Linked DNA regions of Tribolium castaneum. The protein of the gene in region 1 binds, or shares a complex with, the protein of each later gene. Links are inferred from orthologs where the notes say so. Each region holds a gene or a part of one and is shown in the gene's direction. Other genes may lie near its edges.

What was found. Proteins that work in one complex are often made in the same cells at the same time.
Region 2: vir (region 1) and Mettl14 share a complex: the UniProt entries of both Drosophila melanogaster proteins name them as parts of the WMM complex. The link is inferred for Tribolium castaneum from reciprocal best matches to the Drosophila melanogaster genes vir and Mettl14.

Annotation. Positions count from the first base shown.
Region 1 is NC_087394.1:22,054,508-22,060,091, forward strand, and holds the start of vir (protein virilizer), read left to right. Parts: upstream 1-2,097; 5' UTR 2,098-2,181; coding exon 2,182-2,238; intron 2,239-2,286; coding exon 2,287-2,991; intron 2,992-5,584. Other genes in the region: nudC domain-containing protein 1, read left to right, coding at 528-800; epimerase family protein SDR39U1, read right to left, coding at 839-1,036, 1,082-1,758, 1,807-1,837. UniProt on the Drosophila melanogaster protein: Associated component of the WMM complex, a complex that mediates N6-methyladenosine (m6A) methylation of mRNAs, a modification that plays a role in the efficiency of mRNA splicing and is required for sex determination.
Region 2 is NC_087399.1:166,672-170,689, reverse strand, and holds Mettl14 (N6-adenosine-methyltransferase non-catalytic subunit), read left to right. Parts: upstream 1-1,143; 5' UTR 1,144-1,272; coding exon 1,273-1,338; intron 1,339-1,388; coding exon 1,389-1,987; intron 1,988-2,039; coding exon 2,040-2,547; 3' UTR 2,548-2,821; downstream 2,822-4,018. Other genes in the region: BicC (protein bicaudal C), read right to left, coding at 1-68, 123-529, 577-799; phosphatidylinositol 3,4,5-trisphosphate 3-phosphatase and dual-specificity protein phosphatase PTEN, read right to left, coding at 3,890-4,018. UniProt on the Drosophila melanogaster protein: Non-catalytic component of the WMM complex, a complex that mediates N6-methyladenosine (m6A) methylation of mRNAs, a modification that plays a role in the efficiency of mRNA splicing and is required for sex determination.

The DNA of each region.
Region 1 (5,584 bases):
AATAATGTATTAATTAACTAAATCGGACACTTGTTATGGAACGGAGGGAGTATTATTAATATTTTATCTGTTGCCTTAATTTTTTCATCTAATTCTTGATTTTCTATATTTTTATGTTTGAGCATCCGTTCTGACTCTCTAGCTCTTATTTGGAAGTTAATAAAAATATGGAATTAATTTTCTTAAAAAAGGTTCCGCACAAATGCCTCTACCTTTAATGGAAGAACAAAACCGTCGAAGATAGAGTGTTCGGTGTTGCGCAATTTTCAAAGGAAATTTGATTCTTTACAATTACAGCATTTTTACAGTACTTATTCTCGACGTTTTCTCGTTAGTTTTTGCATCTGAGATGCTCTTCAGGGCAATAATTTTTAATTTGTTGGTGTTTTCTAATAATATAATTTCATAATAATATATTTCATAATTCATAATTTTTTAGCTATAGAAAATTAGGTGATTTTGATTTCGGTTCGCCTTGTAGTTTTAGTACTCCGACTTTGAATAATGTTTCTGATTTGGTTTTCTAGGCGTCAAAACAACAAATGAAGTTTTTTGTGGCCTCTCCTGACCTGAGTTACGCCGCTATTTGCGAATCGACCAAACACATTTTTATTTATTGCCAAAATAAAAGCATCGGTTTGAATCAGTTAAGGAATAGAACGACTGGGAAAAGAGTAAACGCATTAGCACAGCAACAAGTCTTCAGTCTACCTTCAAACGAGGAAATTTTAGGGATTTATGCTTCAAATACTTGTTTATACGTGTTGGGAGAAAATTTCATAACGGCACTTAAATTGTAATTTTTTATTAATTTTTGTAACATTTCAATAAATAAGTTTCACTCTTTTGTAACAACTTGCTGGCATGCTGACGCAATATCAGGATATTTATACTGAAACCCTAACGACATTGTCCTCTTTGGCAAGACTTTTTGTCCCTCAGTCAGCATATTAGCCCTTTCTTCACTAAGCAGAACATTCAAGACGAACTTAGGGACGGGAAAAAAAGCCGGACGTCTCAGAGCTTTAGCAAAAGCCTGAAAAACTCAATAAATTACTTACCCAAAATTGCAAAGCCATACGTCTGAAAATTCCTTGTTTGTGACATTTTGTGGAGCCACTCCATTCAGGGTCCCTTCAACTTTATCATTTTTGAGTGCAAATAAAATCAGTCCGGTAAGATCTTCAATGTGTATCCACGGTAAGTACTGATCACCTGGCATGACAGGGCCCCCCAGTCCACAAAAGAACGGCAAATAGAGCTGTTTGATCATCCCTCCGTTTCTCCCCAAAACAACGCCGCTACGGATCGTCACTTGCCTAGTAGGCCCTTTTGGAAGCTTGGCGGCCTTTTCCCATTCATGACAAAGCCGTGAGAAAAAATCAAACTCGGGTTCTACACTCGCTTCATCATATTCTCTGACTTTATCTGCTTTGTAAATTCCAACTCCTGATATGCTCACAAAAACTGAGGGTTTGTTTTGCGCGTTTGAAATTGCTTTAGCTAGGGATGAGGTGGTGTTGACTCTCGAGTTGAAGACGTTTTGTTTAAAGCCGGCGTTCCAGCGCTGTTTCATGTCTAGGACATTTTGTCCAGCTAAATTAATCACAGCTGTTGTTCCTTCGGGAAGTCCGACGTGGTTCAAGTCGTTCCAGGTCATGCGTTGGGGACCCGGCATCCGGGAAATGACGGTAACGCCATACCCTTGTGACTTCAAAGCATTACATAAGTGACTTCCTATGAAGCCCGTACCGCCCCCTTAAACACTGTATTAACTATGTACGTGGTACAGGGGGTGAAACTAACCCACGAGAGCGGTGCCTAAAGCTTTGGACATGTTCGTTGATGAAAAAAATGTGATGGTTGTTTTTAGCCAAACATCTCATAACCTATAACATAAATTATATAAACGTCTCTGTATTATTAAAATATGACTAAATTAATAAGCTAAATATTGAAAATAACACAAACAGTGCGAATAAACGGTAGAAAGCTCATAGAATTAGAAGTTTTTTGTATATTTACATTTTCAAATGACGTTAAGTTGGTGCACCTGTCTCCAAAACATAACCTAAAAGTTTGTTATTGTGTGTGCTAACCACATTTTTCCTCCGAATTTTGTAAACTATCGGTGGTTTTTACGTGTAATTGTGAAAAATATGGAAAACTAACATTTCCAAAATGTCAGACGTGGTCGAATTGCTCTTTTTCGACACTTTTGCCCACGACAACACCGAGGTAAGTTTTCGGCCTTTTGTTTCCTCGCTTACGAGTTTCGTAAATTAGGAGCTAAACTTGGATCTGGTGCAGTTCCCCAAACCCGTGTATGTAACCGAAGTTCGTATTATTCCTCTGGGGGCTCGGGTCCAAGCGGATTTCCCCGGTGGCGTCCGCCTGGGGGCTACAAACCCCAGTCAGTTTCAAATCGAGTTTTTTGTAAATGATTTGGGGAAGCCTGGTGCGAGTACTTTTGAGAGTTTAGGGGGGTTCGAGTATAATCAAAACGGTTGTATCAATTTGAACTGCGTTCCGGAAGATACTGTTAGAAAAATACCCACAGATGGGTTGGTTTTGAGGGGGTGGTACACGACCATCACCCTAGCGGTTTATGGTACTTTGACTAATAACATTACTGAACAAATTATTCAACCTGTTGTGAATCCGGCTTTACCAACGCAGCCCAATACTATAGCAGACGCCCAGCAGATAATTTCAGGAAATAATATTGAAAATGAGTGGAGTCAGGAAAATATCACAAGTGTTCCAATTGAATATAATCAGAATGCCGCCCCGTATCAGCAGGGCTATAATCAGCCTGAGAATTACCCTCAGGAATACAACGAGTATTATAGTGATGTTCCTAAGGACCCTAGGAGTTACCATCACCCTCCTGAGGGAGATTGGGACACGAAGGTGAGACCCAGAAGTGGCGAAAATGACAGGGATAGAGAGCGGGATAGAGACAGGGAACGGACCAGGGAGGGATATCAGGTAGGTCCCAAAACGCAATTGCGGTTCGTGAATTGAAAACCAGGTGAAGACTGAAGAGGTAGTTTTTAGAGCAAGTTTTGTTGTTGTCATCTTAAAAATTTCCAAAATTTTATTTTTAAATGTTATTTTGAGCCAATTTGCTAAAAGCTCGTTTTATAAGTGACTATTTTTTTATTTAAAAAAAAAAAAAGGGAAAAACCTACTTTTCTCATGAAGTTCTGATCAAAGTTAGAAGGTATGACTTCTAGCCAAAAGTTTAGTTATTTCAGGTAGTATTTTGCATGCATTCCATAGAACAGGTAAAAATCACAAATAATGGTTGAAAGTAAAATAATTATTGTAGCGTTAATTTAAGTTAAGTTGACTGTAATTTAGCTCAAAATCGTCCTTCTTTTGTCCTGTTCAGAATGATTTTATTGAAACACGTCGAAAAAATTATCAAATTAAGTCGAGAATTATGTGCTTTTGAGTTGTAAACTCACGTATTATGCGAAACTTCTCTCTAATTCGCCGCAAAATTTTAAAATTATAAGATTGAGAAATTAATTTGTGCAATCCCTCGAAAACTCGAATAATGACGTAACTAGTTTAATAATTGAAGGGGCTATGTATTTGTGATTTTTTGACTTACACAATTATTTACGTGCTTTCAAAGTTTCATTTCGAAAAAATTCTTTATTAGATTTGCAGTTATGTTAGCTAGGTTTTACTAAATTATATATATATCATTATTTATTATTAAACATGTATGTATTTGTTAAACAAGAAAATAGTTAGTTTCAGTTAAAATTAAGTTAAATGTGTACGTTACACTATTTTATAGGTACATAAATTTTGAGCATGATCTTTTTTGAAATGGAAAAAACATACATAAGACTAATTTATTTTTATAGTGTGCAGTTAGATCCGTAAGTGAACAATACCAAATTAATTGTATATACTCCCTTCAACCAATTTGCAACAACTAACTTTTACAAGAAATTTTACAGAAAAATACGAATGTGTGAAGCATATTTTAATTAAACGATATTAAAATAGTCTATATTTGTAAAATTTTCAAAATTCAAAAATTTTCAAAAAAAGTTACATTGCCCCTTCATCTACTAAGCCTGTATTTTTGTCTTTTTCAAATGCTCAAACATATTTTTTTGTTCAAATAATTCCAAAAATTAAGTTCTATTTAATTTGTTACCACAACAAGATAAAATCCTCCCCAAATTTTGGGGCCTAAAACCGCAATGATTATCATGCCCATTGTTGATGATTGCAGTAAGGGATTCTAAAGACAATAATATCTCAATATGTAATGCACGAACTGTGACGCTCTGTGTAGGGCCACTTGCTGTAAACATTAACAGTGACCATGACAGCTTCTGCAGTTTTGAGGAGGTTTTTGTGTTTTTATGAGATAAACATAGCAAATTAGATAAAACTTCACTTGGAGATGGAGCTTGTTAGTACGTTTTTCAGCCCAAAATGGTATTAAAAATCACGAAGGAAGGGTTGACAACGACATTATTTTCGTCTTTTTCATTAGATCATATTTTTGAGTAATAAGCTCATTTTACGATATTTCGCCAAAAATGACGAAAGTCAGTGTTTTGACCTACTAAGGATGATTTTTAGCTTACTGCTAACTTTTTTTTGTGAAACAGCGTTAAAACAGACAGAAAAATTAGTTAATTATGTCGCGAATTACGTTATTTTGAGCTAAAAACTTATTTACTTTACTGAATAATCCCTCTAATGTGGCGAAAAATTTCTACTGAGTGTCGAAAATGGCGTTCTTTTGGTCTGCTACATTAAATTTAACTCGTTTATAAGTGAGAGTCTGTTTTCTTTTTACGAAATAACCCTCAAAATGCCGACCATAACGTTACTAATTTACTTATTATTAAGTATTTTATTTTAGTATTTTCGTCGTTTTCAAAATTTAAATGCCCAAAGTTCAAAAATTTTTCCTAAATACTGGGAGTTCAAAAACTGGCACACCAACTCACTGTTACGTTGTTGAGAAGCATGGGTAGATTTCGGGAAAAATCTTGAAAAAAATCCTAAAGTCATGTTTTAGAAAATCTTCAGCTAAAAACTTTTGTTAATCTCTTCACTGTTCATTATTTTTTAAAGTTGCTATGTTTCATAATAATTAATCGATCCCTAGCACAATGATGGATAATTATATTAAAATTTACTATCATACTTTAGTAGTTTTTTTAATTAAAAAAATTAAATTTGTCAAAAAATCACAATTTGTAGATGTGCCAACACTGGGAATTATTTCCTGGGAAACCGTTACAAAAATAATTTATTTTTATTGTTGATCAAATTATATTCGGAAGTAAAATTACCGTTGGGGGCGCCACTGAGCTAGGTCGAAAACAGTAACCATAAATGGCGGGAAAATGTTTATTTAGATGTTTTGAGCGTTGTACGAATTTTGAGGCTTCACAATTATTACAATGCTTATGCGGAATGACTATTGTATCTTTGGTGTAAGAAACGAATGTTGACAAATTAGAGATGACGAGGAAAACACGAATAACGAATGACTGTTTGGTTCACTTTCTTTATTGGAAAATTATTACAAAGACAG
Region 2 (4,018 bases), on another chromosome or scaffold:
GGACACGTATTATCAATATTTTGGGCCATTATTGGAGGCTCAAACCCAAAAATCAGCGGAATTAATTCCTGAAATGATTGTACTAGTGGTAGGGTTGGATTCAAAATGTTTGATAACTATACCCTAACGCGACTCCTTGCATTTTCAACCCCTTCCAAATCGCCCGAAATCGAAACTTGATTGCTTTTTTCCATCGGATTCGAACGATTCGAATCAGGGAAATGTACGTGGCATTGAGTTTCTTCCATGACACGTTTAATACTCAGCCCTCCTCTGCCGATAATATGCGAATGGTCCGTGTAACTTATGTCCATTTTCATGGTTACACGATTGCATCTCGTGTACAAAACCGTCATAATCCTGTCTTTGGCGGCTTTAACATCCTCTTCTTTGCCGGCGATCCTCACGTGAGGATCCTTTTTCGATTTAGCCCCCAATTTGAGTTTGTTTGGCCACGTTATGTAAGTGTCAGTGTCTTCCATAATGTTCGCAAAAAAAACGTCAGCAGGGATCAGTGCATCGTTGTCCCCTTTTTTTACAAATAATTTCACAAATTACAAAAAAAACTTTACTTACCACTAAGCATCTGTTCCAACTTTTTGCGGTCGACCCGGAACCGGTCCTGGTACAAATCCGAAATGTCCTTTAATCCGTGTTTGGCAACAAAATCCCTTAATTCCTCTCTGGAGCCCCAATTTGAGTTGAAACCAGAAGTAGCCGTGCCGCTTTCCGACACTTCTGATTGTGTGTCGGAATTTTTTACCTCGATTCCACGAGGTGTAGCACAATTACAAGACATTTTTTTTTTAAATCACTACGTCCACAATTAATTAATGACTAACCCCATTTAATGGTCACTTTGTAAGGATTTTTACGCGTTTTTAAGGGCTGTGTAGGTGACACGCTTTTGGTAATTTGCGCGACTGAACTCTGATAAGGGCCAAAGAGAAGTTTTATCTCCTGCTTTTTCTCAGCATGTTTTTCTTCAATCTTATCTGAAGTACTCTGGTACAGGTAAGCGCCAAATTTTACTATTTGCCAACTTTTTCAGGTTTCTAAATAAAAGAAATAAAGTATTTCAACAAAACTTTATTTGTCCTTAAGTGTTACACAATTTATTTCTACCACAAATAATTCATCCCCCAATTTAAATCTACCGCCACGATATGTCAAGCGGTGGCGCTACTTGATTATCATCAATTTTCCGAATTTTGCCAAAAACTGCGGGGAAACTAAATAAAATGAGTTGATAAAACCCGTCTGCACTTGAAAATGGGTGAAGTTATGAAACACCTGCGTGAGAAATCACGGAAACGCAAGCAACTTCTGGCTCAAACTGTACGTATAGTAAAAATGTGGTTATGTATCACTGACAAATAATGTTTAAGCTTGGTGTTTCCAACCCCGAGGAGCTCCGCCAGGTCCTAGGAACCACAACCGAGGTCTCTAAGAGACGTCCCGATTCCACCAACAACGAAAACGAAAAATACGACTACAAGAAAGACACTCCAAATGAATTGGTCTATCGTGACTCTTCAACTTTTCTCAAAGGGACTCAATCGTCGAACCCCCATAATGACTACTGCCAACATTTTGTCGACACTGGTCAAAGACCCCAGAATTTCATCCGCGATGTCGGTCTAGCGGACCGGTTTGAGGAGTACCCCAAATTACGTGAATTAATCAAATTAAAAGACGAACTTATTGCACAAACTGCAAATCCCCCTATGTATCTCAAATGTGATTTAACGACTTATGATTTGAAAAACCTAAATTGTAAGTTTGATGTGATTTTAATTGAACCACCTTTGGAAGAATACCAGAGAACCATGGGGGCCACAAATATGCAGTTCTGGCCATGGGACCAAATCATGAATTTGGATGTGGGGGAAGTGGCAGCGCAACGAAGTTTCGTATTTTTGTGGTGTGGAAGTTCAGATGGACTTGACATGGGGCGCGTGTGTCTCAGAAAATGGGGCTTTCGCCGGTATTTTCCCCATTTTTAGACCAAAATTTTGTAATAATAAATCTAATTACAGATGCGAGGATATTTGTTGGATTCGCACAAACATAAAAAATCCAGGTCATTCGAAAAACCTTGACCCTAAAGCAGTGTTCCAAAGGACAAAGGAACACTGTCTTATGGGTATTAAAGGAACGGTTCGGCGGTCAACCGACGGGGATTTTATTCACGCCAACGTCGACATTGATTTGATCATTTCGGAAGAGAACGAATATGGAAGTTTGGAAAAACCGGTTGAAATTTTCCATATAATCGAACACTTCTGTTTGGGGCGTCGGCGCCTCCACATTTTCGGTAGAGACAGTACCATACGTCCAGGTTGGTTAACGATCGGTCCCGAGTTAACAAATTCGAATTTCAATGCCGATTTATACGCGAGTTATTTTACTAATAATAATATAACGACGGGATGTACGGAACGAATTGAAGCTTTGAGGCCGAAAAGTCCGCCTCCAAAGGGCAAAGGAAATTCCGGAGGACGAGGTCGGGGCAACTTTCAGCGAGGACGTGGCAGGGGACGTTGAAAAAACACTTTTTAAAGCTTTTATTTTTAATTTATGACACTACCATAGTCTCCAGCAGTGCGCTCAGATCTGATTTGAAAAAATTATGACACTACCAAATCATCTCCAGCAGTGTTCTCAGATCTAATAACTTAAAATATAATATTAATCTTGGATCACAATCACAATAAGCAATATCAATATAAAAACTATAATAACCATACAATTATGTATTTATATATAAAAATAGTGGTTTACTTTATTTTCGTTCAATAATAATGACGCAGTCACATAATTTTTGTTACTTTAACCTTATAATACAATTTTTATATTATAAAACTGGTTGGTACCATGTTAAAAAATATTTTTCTGAAGACCATACACTGGGTTCGAGATTGTTTTCAATTAAAATCAGTTAAAACATTAACAAAATTTGGCATCGTAAGTACAACTTGTTTCTATTGTTGAAACACAAAGAGAAAAATTAAAACATGTTCTAAGTTTAACTTATAAGAAGGTACTTCCTAATGTAAAAAAATACATTGAGAAAAAAACTATGCACTAAATAATTCGAGCATACAAATTATTGGTCTTAATAAAATAATTTAACAGCCTTTTCTAGGGAAGAGAGAAATTTTCGTTAAGTTATTACAATTATAAAATTAGGGAAAATTAGAACTGAAGCCTGAACAAGAAATCGTATACAGTTTTGGATCGTTAAATTATTCTTCATTCAGTCTTCATATTGTACTGGCAATTCGGTTCACAATTAGTTCATTTCTAAATTTCCCTACAAAAAAAACTAGGGAGAGGGTTAGGGGGAAAATGGCAAAAATCTTATAATAACCGGTAACCAAAGTACTAACATTGGCAAGATAAAATGAAATGAGATCAAAAAAGCATTTGTACTCTCATAATTAAAAAGTGTTTTGACTGATTTTAAACTTGGTTTAAAAAAAGCAAGCGGATGAATGAATGATCAAAAAAAAATAATGACACAATCCCTTCTCTACATGCAATATTTACAGTTTTGTACGATGCATGCCCTTTGAGCCTCCCATTCACAGGTACGTGGACTCCCCTAGAAATAAATTTAAGTAAGACTGATTTCCCAACATTGTACACACAACACAAATAAGCACAAGCACAATTTACACATAATTACCTGAAATCCGTATTTGTTCGGAGGCTTTTTATACGAAAAAAAAAATAATAATAAAAATCAGACCAACGAGAGAATTATTATATCTTTTTAATCATTGTCTCATTAACGGAAAATACATTCTTACAACTTGAGCTTACACAATACAGTTTATTAAATTCAAAAAACCAGAATCATCACTAAGCAAAAAATGTGATTGTCCTACGAAGAAAAAATTTTGAGGTAGACGTCGCTGTTCCCTAATAATCTATCTGACTGACACACCAATTTAATAAACTGTAATCCGGCTGCTTTTTGTACTCGATTTTGTGTTATTATTACTTGCGAATA